Linked DNA regions of Neurospora crassa OR74A. The protein of the gene in region 1 purifies or fractionates together with the protein of each later gene. This does not show direct contact. Links are inferred from orthologs where the notes say so. Each region holds a gene or a part of one and is shown on either strand. Other genes may lie near its edges.

The links.
Region 2: the proteins of NCU01675 (region 1) and stk-52 purify together in Saccharomyces cerevisiae (affinity purification with mass spectrometry; 3 studies listed by BioGRID). This does not show direct contact. The link is inferred for Neurospora crassa OR74A from reciprocal best matches to the Saccharomyces cerevisiae genes RRP12 and RIO1.
Region 3: the proteins of NCU01675 (region 1) and NCU08968 purify together in Saccharomyces cerevisiae (affinity purification with mass spectrometry; 5 studies listed by BioGRID, with this or other methods). This does not show direct contact. The link is inferred for Neurospora crassa OR74A from reciprocal best matches to the Saccharomyces cerevisiae genes RRP12 and DIM1.

What each region holds. Positions count from the first base shown.
Region 1 is NC_026502.1:2,739,092-2,744,585, reverse strand, and holds the start of NCU01675 (90S preribosome component RRP12), read left to right. Parts: upstream 1-2,155; 5' UTR 2,156-2,251; coding exon 2,252-2,323; intron 2,324-2,465; coding exon 2,466-5,494. Other genes in the region: NCU01674 (alpha-soluble NSF attachment protein), read left to right, coding at 626-658, 732-855, 944-1,250, 1,324-1,738. UniProt on the Saccharomyces cerevisiae protein: In association with GSP1, required for nuclear export of both pre-40S and pre-60S ribosomal subunits. Required for the late maturation of the 18S and 5.8S rRNA of the pre-40S ribosomes and for maturation of the 25S and 5.8S rRNA of the pre-60S ribosomes.
Region 2 is NC_026503.1:5,215,472-5,219,483, reverse strand, and holds stk-52 (serine/threonine-protein kinase RIO1), read left to right. Parts: upstream 1-1,212; 5' UTR 1,213-1,458; intron 1,459-1,590; 5' UTR 1,591-1,603; coding exon 1,604-3,235; 3' UTR 3,236-3,722; downstream 3,723-4,012. UniProt on the Saccharomyces cerevisiae protein: Required for the final endonucleolytic cleavage at site D converting 20S pre-rRNA into the mature 18S rRNA. Required for the final steps of cytoplasmic maturation of the 40S ribosomal subunit.
Region 3 is NC_026505.1:5,864,622-5,868,292, forward strand, and holds NCU08968 (dimethyladenosine transferase), read left to right. Parts: upstream 1-1,400; 5' UTR 1,401-1,648; coding exon 1,649-2,437; intron 2,438-2,495; coding exon 2,496-2,871; intron 2,872-2,933; coding exon 2,934-2,965; 3' UTR 2,966-3,171; downstream 3,172-3,671. Other genes in the region: NCU08967 (arrestin domain-containing protein), read right to left, coding at 1-835; NCU08969 (hypothetical protein), read right to left, coding at 3,525-3,671. UniProt on the Saccharomyces cerevisiae protein: Specifically dimethylates two adjacent adenosines in the loop of a conserved hairpin near the 3'-end of 18S rRNA in the 40S particle.

The DNA of each region.
Region 1 (5,494 bases):
ACTCGTGCTCCGCCCCCACTTTTTTGGATCTCGCCAAACTCGCACCAACTAAAGTTGGTGCTCACGACTGCAACGGCCACACCACCACAACGGCCACCATAGTGAGCATAGTTCAGCATCAAGATATCAGAAGCTTGTAACTCATCACAACAACCAATTGAGATAAGTAAAATACTATAAGTATAATTAGGGAAGTACATCGTATATAGGAAGCATTTTTCTGCTTAGAAAAGCCAATACATTAGAAAGATTATGTTTCTGGCCTATAAATCAAGCCCGAAATTGCACCTCTAACCCTAACCTGGCCGTTGCGCTGGTGTGGCCGTTGCAGTCGTGAGCACCAACTTTAGTTGGTGCGAGTTTGGCGAGACCCAAAAAAGTGGGGGCGGAGCACGAGTACCGGCCAACCCCCCAATCCCATGCCCGCATACCTTACCCCGGGAGACAACGAAACACCTCGGGCTCCTGCAACCACCAACACGACACCATCCCGACCAACACCTGAGCTTCTTCGAGCGCGCCCGATTCCGAACAATTGGGACACCCATCAATCGGCTTCATACAGCGGACGCGACTCCAACTTAGAACTTTGCCCATCTATATACCGTCTAATAACTTGCCCTTCATGGCTGTCGATCCGCGCGTTCTCCAACAAGAGGTTTGAAACCTGCCCCTCCTGGCACCTCCTGACACTTTCGCGACACCTTGCTGATGCCGAATGCGAACACCAGGCAGAGAAGACCCTCGCGAGCGCGTCCAAAGGCTGGGGTCTGTTCGGAAACAAGGAAGACAAGTACCAAAATGCGGCGGATCAGTACATACAAGCGGCCAACGCTTTCAGGTTGCAGAAGTCAAGTACGTCATCACAATCATCAACACCCACGATGCGCTTTCGGGCCATATGAACCTCGCGGCAAGTCCTAACGTTCTGCCCACTACCCAGACACCGAGGCCGGCAAGTGTTTCGAGGAAGCTGCCAAGATCTTCACTGAGAAGTTGAAGGAGCCCAACGATGCGGCGAATGCCATGTTGGACGCCTTCAAGGTCTATAGGAAAGATGCCCCGGATAATGCTGTGCGCTGCGTCGAGGTTGCCATCAAGCAGTATACCATGGCGGGGAACTTCCGGAGAGCTGCGTCGCACAAGGAGAACCAGGCTGAGGTCTACGAAAACGAGCTGCAGAATAAGCCAGAGGCTATCAAGGCCTATACAACTGCGGCCGAGTGGTATGAGAACGACGGTGCTGTCGCGTAAGTGATTAATGCCCACGGCTTTTGCGCCATGTTACGAGTCCAACAGGTCGTTCTAACCAGCTGTGTGTAGTCTTGCGAACAAGCTGTGGCTCAAGGTGGCCGACCTCTCTGCCCTCGCGGGCGACTTTTTCGCCGCTATAGAGAAGTTCGAGAAGGTTGCGGAGGCTTCACTCGGCAACAACCTGATGAGGTACTCGGTCAAGGAGTACTTCCTCAAGGCCGGTCTCTGCTCCTTGGCGACCAAGGATATGGTCACTGCTCAGCGTAACATCACCAAGTATGCCGAGAAGGACCCATCATTTACGGGCCAGCGCGAATACCAACTCCTGGTTGACTTGTTGGAAGCAGCCTCAAACAACAACCTCGAGATGTTCCAGGATAAGCTTGCCGCGTACGATAAGATGAGCCGGCTCGATGACTGGAAGGCGGCTGTTCTTCTCCAGATCAAGAACAACTTTGAGGAGGCAGACAACGAGTTTTCATAAACAGGGTGGAGGAACTTGTGATATACAGCCATTTATCACTTTCTGGTTTCCTTCTTTCCTTTTTCTTTTCTTTGTTATCGTACCGGCGTTTTCTGGTTGGGAGGGGGATGAACTGTCATATCATGAATACGGTCATCGACGCTTTGGTGATTTACGGAAGACCCAAACAAACCTGCTGTCTGGGGTAGAGATGGGCTTAAAGCAATAGAAACTTGTTCCTAGTGGGTACGCGTTGTTCGTACGATCCAACATGAATTGTTGTATCTCATAACCTTGATGGCTGCCCAAGCGAAACATAGGTACCTCTATAAGCATGAGATGCCATAGCTAACCCTGGAGTTACAGTTGGGAGCCGCTTCGGACTAGCGCCAGACCCTTATCAATGACAGCGGGTGGGGCGTGCGCGCCGATAAGCGACAACTTTTCGAACTTTTCTGTTCTTCATGACATCGATTTCAGCACTGCGAAGCGGCTTGCATTGTCCCACTCCAGCGCCATTCCATCACATTCACGATGGCTTCTTCTCCGTCTTTGCAGGAGAAACTGGACAAGATTCGGTCTCCGAATCTCCAGAGCCAGAAGCAGGTAAGCCAGAGTCATGATGCATCTCTCCTTTTTCCATCTTTTGTCTTCTGCATCCCTACCCTCTTCCTTCCAGCCTGCCATTGCAGTGGCCTGTCGCAAGGCCGCCTCCATCGTGGACAATGGACCCTGACTTGAGCCACAGACTGCCAGTGTCCTCGAGGCTATCGAGGCCACCTTCAAGGAGCGCAATACACCCGCGACTCCTACCGCCTACTTCGCTGCCCTTCTCAGTCTACTCAACAACGAAAACCTCGCGACCCCCGTCGTCTACCTCCTCGATGTCGTCACTCCCTTCGCTCCAAAGCCTATTCTTCAGGCCAAGTTCACTCAGATCATCACCATCCTCGCGCCAGTACTATCCCTCCCCGATGCCGATGCTCCCCTCATGAGGGCCTCGATCGGCTCTCTCGAGAGCTTGCTCCTTGCTCAAGATGCGACACAGTGGGAGCTCGGTACCGCCCAGATTGGCCCCCGCCGGGCTGTGGCCGGCCTCCTCGCCCTTGCCCTCGACCCGCGTCCCAAAGTCCGCAAGAGAGCCCAGGAAGCGCTCAGGAACATCCTGAAGAACCCTCCGCCGAGCCCGTCTCTCGACCACCCCGCCGCCCCCATGTGCGCCGAGACAGCCATGCAGAGCCTCCGTCTTGTCGCTGACAAGGCCGCCGCCCAGAGGAAGGAAAAGAAGACTACCGACTCTACCCACGATCCCGAGCTTATCCACGCCTTGCAACTCGTCAAGGCTGTCGCCTCTGGAAGCGGTGGCTGGCCCAGCAAGAGCATTGAGTCTTTGTGCGAGCTCCTTCTCAGCATTGCCCGGACGGGCAACGAGCACATGAGCATGGCTGTCTTCGAGATCTTCGAGATGATGTTCGAGGGCATGGCCGCCGACGAGGTTGCCTCCGCCAAGCTTCCTCGGCTGCTCGAGATCATCAGAGAGCTCCGTCCCGCGCCCAACGATACCCAGCTTCTCCCTCCCTGGATCGCCATTCTGTCGAGAGCCTACGATGTTGCCGGTCAGATTTCGCCCGCCGAGACCTTCCAAGAGCTGGTCGATCCTTTCACTCTGGTTGCAGGATACCTCGAGTCCCAGCACAAGAATATTCGCGTTTCGGCGTCCGAGTGCTTGGTCTCCTTCCTGGCCAACTGTGTCCCCAAGGAGGCCATCCTTGAGCCTTCGATTTTTGACGAGAAGGTCATTCAGCAACTAGTCAAGGTTGTCGAGGGCCTTCTCACCGTCCAGTACCAAGCTGCCTGGATGGAGACTTTCAACGTTCTTGGTGCCATGTTCGATGCCTTTCGGTGGCAGGCTAACCCTTACCTCCTTTCCGTCGTCAAGAGCATCGGCGAAATCCGCGGTAACGATTCTTTCGCTGGAAAGCAGGAAGCCGACGAGGTCCTTGGCAAGGCGATTCGTGCAATGGGTCCTGAGGCGGTCTTGAATGTTCTTCCCCTGAACCTCGCGAAGCCCGTCAAGGGTCAGCCTGGCAGAGCTTGGATGCTTCCTCTTCTCCGTGACTACACCTCCAACACCAATCTTGCACACTTCAAGAGCGAATTGGTTCCTCTCAGTGCTATCATGTTCCAGCGTGTGATTGAGCACCAGGGCGAGAAGAACATTCACATCAAGATTTTCGAGACTGTTGTTCAGCAAATTTGGTCGATTCTTCCCGGCTACTGCGACCTTCCACTTGATCTTGTCGAGGCCTTTGACACAGGCTTCGCTGAGATGTTGACCAACCTTTTGTATGAGCAGGTTGACCTGCGCTTGGATATTTGTCGCGCCCTCAGGACCGTTGTTGAGTCCAACCAGGCCATCGCCACTTCCGATGAGGTCGATGACCTCATTCTCTTTGGCAGGGTCAGCAAGGAGCAGGCGCAGAAGAACTTGGAGTACCTCGGAGCCACCTTTGCAGCTGATTTCCTCGCTGTTCTCTTCAACGTCTACAGCACCACTCTCCCCCAGAAGCGCGGCCCTGTCCTCCAGACCATCAACGCCTACCTCAGCATCATCCCTCCCGCGCGTCTTACCGAGACTTTCGACATGGTGTGCGAGAAGCTCGCCGAGGCTCTTCAAGAGGCTGTTGAGAAGAAGCCCCAACAACAGCAGAAGGCCGATCACATGCCTTCTGCCGCGCACACTCTCATGGACCTGGTCGTTACCATGTCTATCTACCTCCCCCGTGCCAGCTTCGAGGCTCTTTTTAAGATCGCTTCAGTGGTCATCTTCAAGGATGATGACCCTCAGCTGCAGAAGAAGGCTTACAAGCTCATTCCTCGCTTGGCGGATTCCCCCATCGGCAAGGCCGCCCTCGAGGAGAGACATGGCGAGCTCCAAACCCTGTTCCTGTCCAGCTCTGAGAAGGTGTCGGCACCTGCCCGGAGAGAGCGCCTGGCTGCCATTGCTGCTCTGATTCACTTCATCCCCAACGATTCCCTGCACTTCATTCCCTCCATTCTTTCAGAGGTTGTCATTGGCTGCAAGGAGCACAACGAGAAGGCTCGCACTACCGCCTTCGACCTTCTGGTTCTCCTTGGCCAGAAGATGGTTTCTGCTCAGGGCTCTTTGATCGATAACAGCAAGGTCCCTCACATGCCCGCGGATGCTCCTGCGGCTACCGCCTCTATTGAGGAGTTCTTCACCATGGTCAGTGCCGGTTTGGCTGGCAGTACCCCCCACATGATTTCGGCCTCTATCACTGCCATTACCCGCGTTCTTTATGAGTTCCGCGAGACCGTCAGTAAGGAAACACTGTCCGACCTTGTCCAGACCATGGACCTCTTCCTTACTTCCAACAACCGCGAAATCGTGAAGAGCGTTCTTGGCTTCGTCAAGGTCTGCATCATCAGTCTGCCCACCGAGATGATGACACCCCGCCTTCCCACACTCATTCCCAACGTCATGGTTTGGAGTCACGAGCACAAGGGCCATTTCCGCTCCAAGGTCAAGCACATTATCGAGCGTATGATCCGTCGCTTTGGCTTTGAGGCCGTTAGCAAGTACTGTCCCGAGGATGACAGGAAGTTGATTGTCAACATCCGCAAGACCAAGGAGCGCGCGAAGAGGAGAAAGGAGGCCGGCAAGGAGGCCGGTGAGGGTTCGGACGACGAGGCCGGCGGCAGAAAGGCCAGCCGGTTCGAGAGCGAGTACGACCACGCCCTTTACAGCAGCGACGA
Region 2 (4,012 bases), on another chromosome or scaffold:
AGAAGCGAATGTTCGACATGAAATGGGGCAGAGCATCAAAGCAATCTATGGAAACTCCGAGCATAAAACAAAGTTTCCGAATAGATCTCTAAGGCCCCGGGTGACCTTGACCCAAATGACTAAATATCCCCCTAGCAACCTCATCGCCATTACTGTTCCCATACCAATCATGCTGCGGCCGAGCAAAGGGGACACAGCTCATCAATCCGTCTTGAAACGAATAAGTCAGTCATCAACACCCGCTTGCGGGTTGGGCAGTCGCTGCTACTGGCATAGCAGTAAACCCGTCTTCTAGTGCGCTCGAACCATCGTCGGTACAGCTGCCCTTGCTCGTTGACCCAGCCATAGCCGGCTGGACAATCGGCGCCATTACGGCAAAAGTGATGTTCCATGTAGGAGTGGCACATGGTGAGTGAAGTTGTGAGCCCGTTTAGGCAAGGCTGGAATCCCGATGGGGGTTGCCGGAATAAAATAAAAAGGGAATTGGGAGACGCGCCTACCTATTGGATGTTGGAAACTGTGGCCCTGTGCTATTATATGCTCCGTGTTGACATCAAGTTGCGGCTCACACATGATGTAAATATGTTCATTCCTGAACTCGGGTGGTCGATGACCCATTATCCGTTTGTTGACGTGGGAGTCATCAACGACCATGAATCGAATCATCTAAACGCGTCATGTCAATGTATGCCTGCAGGATGAGGTGGAAGCAGGCCAGAAGGTCGTGATGGGTTTACTTTGATTGCAAGTCTCCATCGTTTCCATTGATGAGACGCAAATATCCAGAGGTCATATACCAGATTTGACCGTGAGTAAAATGGAATGTAAGAAGGATGATGTTAGGTTTCCCTGTAATTACCCGGGACCATGGTGTCCATTGCTAGCTTGATGACTTTGGGGATCGGCCTATGCCCCATGGGTGGAGAATTGGCTTTTGGGTGGTCGCCCCTTTTGAGCACTAACAGCTGGGTTCTGTCCAACAGGGAAGCGTACACTGGGTGCTGTTAGTGCTGTTGGCGTTGATTGAGTCACCGGCAGAAGTAGGTGTGTTCCGCACCGTGTTGAGATGTCGAAGATGCAAACCAAAGCTCAAGGAATGAATGTGGAAGTGGAATGAATCAGAATGATAGCGTCAGCATCATCGCCTAGCGTACTAACTATTAGGCGACAAGCTCACTCCAGTGGCAAACTGGTCGCCATCGGTGCAGGGGTGCAATGTCTGTACTCGGAGAGGCAAGAAAAGATGTTATGAATGCTGAAGCCTAAAGTGAGCCGAAGACTACTTAACAAGCAGCCATATCATGTGGAACGGAAACATCCAAGAACATCTTCAGTTCCATTCCAATCCGTCTTCGAGTCGAGTCGTCGTCAAGAACTCGATACTCACGGATTACCCTAACCCTGAATCTCGAAAACAGCCCTACCACTGGAAGACACCCCGCATTACGATAAGATAAGGTAAGCTCGCCCCACCAAGAAAATTGCCAGTGGACGGGAAGTGGAAGTTCGCAAGTTCCATGACGATTTCCATTTCGTCTGCCATCCTGTCTCATCACCACCTGCTGATATCGGCGGAACTGACGAAAGCAGACTCGGCAGCAAGATGGCGTCCCAACCAGAACTCACGTCGACCACAGCGGCGACCGACAACCAGAATGTCGACCTCAGCAACACCACCGCCCAGCTCAACAACCTTGCGATCGAAGAGGAAGACGACGACGACGACCTCCAAGATGTCTTTGAATCCGACGATGACCTCGACTACGAAGATGGCGGCACCGACCTGACCAAGTCGTACAACCGCCAACAACATGGCGCCGGTGCTACCAACTCTCAGCAGTCCCAAGCTCAGGCCCAGCAACAAAAACCCACAGCCAACACGTCGGCCCGCGTCGACGACCAGATCGCCGCCCTCTCCAAGTTCGCCGGAAAGATCCGCATCGACGCCTTCGACAATGCCTCCGGTCCCGCCGAGCGCAGCAAAGACAAGTCCGATCGCGCCACCTCCGAACTCGTCCTCGACCAGCGCACGCGCATGATCCTGCTGCAGATGATCAACCAGGGCTTTGTCTCCGAGATTCACGGCGCCATCAGCACGGGCAAGGAAGCCAACGTCTACGGTGCCATACTCCACCCCGAGGATGGCTCGGCCCCCATACACAAGGCCATCAAGATCTACAAGACGGCCATTCTGGTGTTCAAGGATCGCGAGAAGTACATTACTGGTGAACACCGCTTCAAGAGCGGCAGTGAAAAGGGAAACAACAGGAAGATGGTCAAGCTCTGGGCCGAAAAGGAATTCAGAAACCTGCGCCGTTTGTACACAGCCGGCATCCCCTGCCCGGAGCCCATCAAGCTCAAGCTGCACGTGCTCGTCATGAGCTTCTTGGGAGATCGCAAGGGCTGGGCCTACCCCCGTTTGCGCGACGCTCCCATCTCGGGCGACGACGCCGATGAACAATGGCGCGACCTCTACATCCAACTCCTCGGCCTCATGCGCAAGCTGTACCAAGTCTGCCGCCTCGTCCACGCCGATCTGTCGGAATACAACATCCTCTACAACAACAAGAAGCTCTACATCATTGATGTTTCCCAATCCGTCGAGCACGACCATCCCCACTCGCTCGAGTTCCTGCGTATGGATATCAAGAACGTCGGCGATTTCTTCAGGAGGAAGGGTGTCGACACGCTCTCAGACCGCACGATTTTCGATTTCATCGTCAACCCCAAGGGACCGGCCGAGGAACCCGGTATGAAGGAGACGGTCGAACAGCTGTACCAGACGAGGGTGGAGGTGGAGGATACCGCGGAGGCCAGGGCCGAGCAGGAGGTCGACAATGAGGTTTTCAGAAACCAGTACATCCCCAAGACGCTGAACGAGGTTTACGATATCGAGAAGGATGTCGCCAAGGTAAACGAGGGTCAAGGAGAGGATTTGGTATACAAGAACCTGTTGGCGGATCAAGTGGTGCACAAGACGGCGGAGGATCAGGAAGAGGAGGAGTCTGATGAGGAGGAGGAGGGCAGTGGTGACGAAGAGGAGGGTAGTGATGACGAGGATGACGAGAGCCGATTCGAAAAGGGAACACCAAGAGGCAAGAGGTTCATCGACAAGGACGAAAAGAAGCAGCACAAGGCGGCGGTTAAGGAGGCCAAGAGGGAGAAGAGGAAAGAGAAGATACCCAAGGCGATGAAGAAGAAGTTGGTGAACAGCACGTCGAGGAGGAAGCACTAAGCTGTGGTCGTCTACAAGTATCAGCTTTTCTTGGTTTCTTTCTCTTGTCTTGTTTGCTAATGGGCTCGGGTATGGCTTCTATGGCGCTAAAAGAATAATGGATCATGTCATCTTCCAGCCTGCGTATCCTGCTTTGATGCGTTTGGCGTTTCTCTCTCATACCTCACCCCATCCCGTTTGATCTGGCTACACTTTTGGCCATCATCCCTTGCGACACAGACGCAGCAAGTAAAGCAACCGGATGATGAAAGCAGTAAAGCCTGCCTGAGATTGTCGTCTCCTCAAACGAGCTTGTAATGGTTTTGCCTGTTTTCAGGGCGAAGCCTCCTGCTTTCGAGTAGAGACACTTTCTCAGAAGGCAGGTCTGAGTCGCTGGCGAGCCACCTAAAGAGTGGTCAAGCCGGGCTATGACGACCAAAGAGAGCACTGACGGTCTGCTCCCATACTGGGCGCCTATTAATCCCATGGAGATTCCAGTAGTCTCCTGTTGCCTTTAATATGTACTTATAAAGAGGAAGATGCCTCTACTATACGCTCCCCATTCCCCTTTCTTTATTTCTCCTTTTTTTTATCCCCTCAGTAGATGTTTCCAGTGGTGATATATTTTGAGAGGGCCGGAGTTGCGCTGTGGCGGGAGGGACCTTTCAGGAACGTCGGAGCTTCTTACTTTCAGTGGATGAAAGTAAAAGGCTTCTTTACATATCTTTCGAGATTGACGGCCAACCTCATAGCCAACTTCAGTTTTTGCGTCAACCTGGTAAGCGTTTCTGGAAGGGG
Region 3 (3,671 bases), on another chromosome or scaffold:
CTTCGGGCTCCGTTGCAAGTTTTCCATCAGCCGTTGTTGTTGTTGTTGTTGGGGCTGAAGATGACCCTGCATTGCTACTCCCAGTCCACCCGCTGAAGAAAGAAGCTCGTTTCTTGGAAGACGCGTTTGTCCTTGGGCTTCGTGGACGGAATGCAAAGGGTCGTCTGGCATAGGCTTCGTGGTTCGTCTTGGGCGGCCTTGGAGGCTCAATAGGAAGGAATTTCAAGCCGGTCTGCATCCTCCAGTTCTCCTTGAAAAAGCCCGGTCTCTGAATGGTAACCTTGACATAGTATCGAATCTCGCACTGGCCTGGGAATCCGGTGAAACTGGGTGGGAGCGTCTTTGTGACATGGGAGTACATCAGCTGCTTGGTGCCGTCCATAACACGAATGCCACCGAGACCGAACAAGCCAGAACCCGACGCGATTCCACCGGCACCAGAAAGGCCTCCTAGTTTGGCCATGGCGACAGGATCACCACAAGCATTGTTGAAGGGAAACTTGAACTGGAAGGGGAATCTGTGTTGACCAGCGGCTAGGACATAGGGCTGTGGCAAGGCGTTGGTCTTCTCGTCGGGAAAGGCCTGGGTGACTTTGTATAGGATCTTGTGGTTCTCGTAGATAACATCGCCGGTTGGAGTGCGCTCCCTCTGAGCAATGCCGGTCCCTGAGCCATCGGCGGGTACTCCCAAGGCCGACTTGGCTTCACCCTCGAGTTTGACGATGATGCCTCCGATCTGTTCGGGACGACTGAGAGTGAGGACGACCTGGCCGCGGATAATATCCAGGTTTGTGTAGAACTCGGGAGGGTTTTCGAGGGCGATCCGTATCGACATGGTTGCGATTGATTATCGTCAACTTCAACAGAGAAATGAGGCTATCACCACATGAACCAAAACAACAAGGAATAACCAGTGGGTCACACGCCCAGGTATGAGCCAAGGAGAAGATGATGGAAAAGAATCTGTTATTTTTTTTTTACAATCCGATTTCCTCGAACCTTGGGAGGGGGTTGGTATTATAGGTAGGTAGATGAAAATTCAAAGCCACTGCCTGTCTGCTTCGATGTGATCAGCTTCACACGGCAGTTAGGTGATGACGGGGAAGACCCTCACTGAAAGACCGGAGGATTTGCCGTTTAAGTGCTGGGTAGCAATTTGAACCCGCCGCACATGTTTAGGGCGGCCTCCGCTGTTACGTCAGACGGGGAATCATCGGTCGGAAGTGGCCGAGGTGCCTGGATTCCACTGATGTTTCCAGTGGGCTGGGCCGCCGCCGCCGCCCGCATGGTGTCTCAATGGGGAAAGCGGTCAGCCTTTTGCTTATCTTATCAGCCACATGTCTGGCGGGGCATCTTTTTTTCTGCCGCCTGATCCACTCAAAAAAAAGATGTCGGCCGGGGTCCGGCGCAGGCACAAGGAAGCTCTCTTCAGCCTGCGGTACCTCTGTCCGTCTCACAATAGAGGTACATACTACAGCCATTGCGCGACTGCCGTGACTTGAGAACGAACCGCCCAAGTCTCGACCCGGACAGAGATCGACCGAAACGACGAAACCCTCCATCGATCCCCCAACCTTCTCGTCCGACCTCGATTCCGAGTCGTCTTCCTCCACACACCTACCCACGACAGCATTGACTAGACTACACCATGCCCAAGGCAGCGAAGGCGTCCAAGAAGTCGGGGGGCGGCGGCAACCCCTACGATCGCAAGGGGGGCGGCGGCGGCGGCAAGGCTACCAACACCAACATCTTCAAGTTCGACAAGGACTTTGGCCAGCATATCCTCAAGAACCCCGGTATCTCGGATGCCATTGTCGACAAGGCCTTCCTCAAGCCCACCGATGTCGTCGTCGAAGTCGGTCCCGGTACCGGCAACATCACGGTCCGCGCCCTTGAAAAGGCAAAGAAGGTCATCGCCATCGAGCTCGATCCTCGTATGGGTGCCGAAGTTACCAAGCGTGTCCAGGGCACTCCGCTAGCCAAGAAGCTCGAGGTCATTCTCGGCGATGTCATCAAGATGCCCGAAATGCCTCCATGCGACGCTCTCATCTCCAACACTCCCTACCAAATTTCCAGTCCGCTCATCTTCAAGATGTTGGCCATGCCCAACCCGCCCCGCGTCGCCGTACTCATGTTTCAAAGAGAATTCGCAAAGAGACTGGTGGCTCGGCCGGGTGATGCTCTCTACTCGAGATTGAGTGTCAATGTCAACTTCTGGGCCACATGCAAGCACATCATGAAGGTCGGCAAGCAGAACTTCAAGCCTCCTCCCAAGGTCGAGTCCGACGTCGTCAGAATTGAGCCCCTTGTTGGTTCGGCGCGCCCCAACATTGCTTTTGAGGAGTTCGACGGTCTCCTTCGCATTGCTTTCAACCGCAAGAACAAGACCCTTTATGCCGGCTTCAACCAGAAGGAGGTCCTCAACATGTGCGAGAGGGTACGTTTCTTCCCATGTGTTCACAAGCTCCAACTCTTACTGACCACTTCGTTTCCAGAACTACAAAGTCTACTGCACCCTCAACAACATCCCCATCGACGAGTCCCTCGCTTCCGCGGCTGACCTTGCTGCCGCCGGCGCCACCAACGATGCCATGGACGTCGAGATGGACGACGACAACGAAGACAATGATAACGAAGAGAACAACGACGATGACGAGGCTATGGAGGAGGATGAGGACGAGGACATGCCCGTCTTCTTCAAGGAGCAAAACGACGCCAACGCTAAGGACGCCAAGACACCTAGCAAGAACCCCAAGTCCAAGGTGGCCTTGATAGTCAAGGCCAAGTTGAACAAGGTGCTTACGAGCACCGGTTTGGCGGACAAGAGAGCTAGGCAGTGCGATCAGAACGATTTCCTCAAGCTGTTGCTTGGTACGTTTTCTTCCCCCTCGGCTTCCCTTTCTGATGGACAACCTCGCTAACACTCCTGACAGCGTTCCACGAGGAGGGTATTCACTTCTCTTAGACGTGTGTTATTATTGCGAACACGCACAGAAATCATCGGCGTACGGGGCGTTTTTTGGGGATTGGGAAAATGTCGTTTTTTAAAAATTCTTTGTTTTGTTCCATTTGTCGTGGAAATACCATTGATCTGGATGCTAGGATTTGCACAATCATAAAAGCCAATGAATCTGGCTGCCACTTTTGCCAGGAATCGAACCATAATCATCTTTCGTTTGGATTGCTTGAGCGTCGGATGTTGTTCTCTTCGTCACGTTGCTCAAACATTGCTGAGAAGCAATTGCTGACAATACCAGACCTACCGCATCGAGATGTCTTTTATAATAAAACCATGGATCGGGGGAGTGGTCAGTGACCTACGGGACCGAGTCCTTGGAGTAACAGGGAAACGGAAAGCACAGGAGAGCAAGCTGTTTTCCTACCCTACCTCTCTCAGTAACAGGCGCCGAGTGCGTCGTTACCAAGCCAGAAAGCGTGGAAGCCTTCTTTCGATAGCTTGTCAGTTGTTCAAAACCATTGAAGAGGGGCAAAGAAAAAGAAGAAGAACAAATGGTGACCGCAACTTATATTTTGGAAAGCACGACACTGGATACTAAAATGTGTCGCCGTTCTTGTCCTTCTCTCCTCCACTCCTCCATTCTTCGACCTCCATCCTCCGCACCCAACACCCATAGCCCAAAAACCACGAAGGTCTCAGCACCCATGCCATC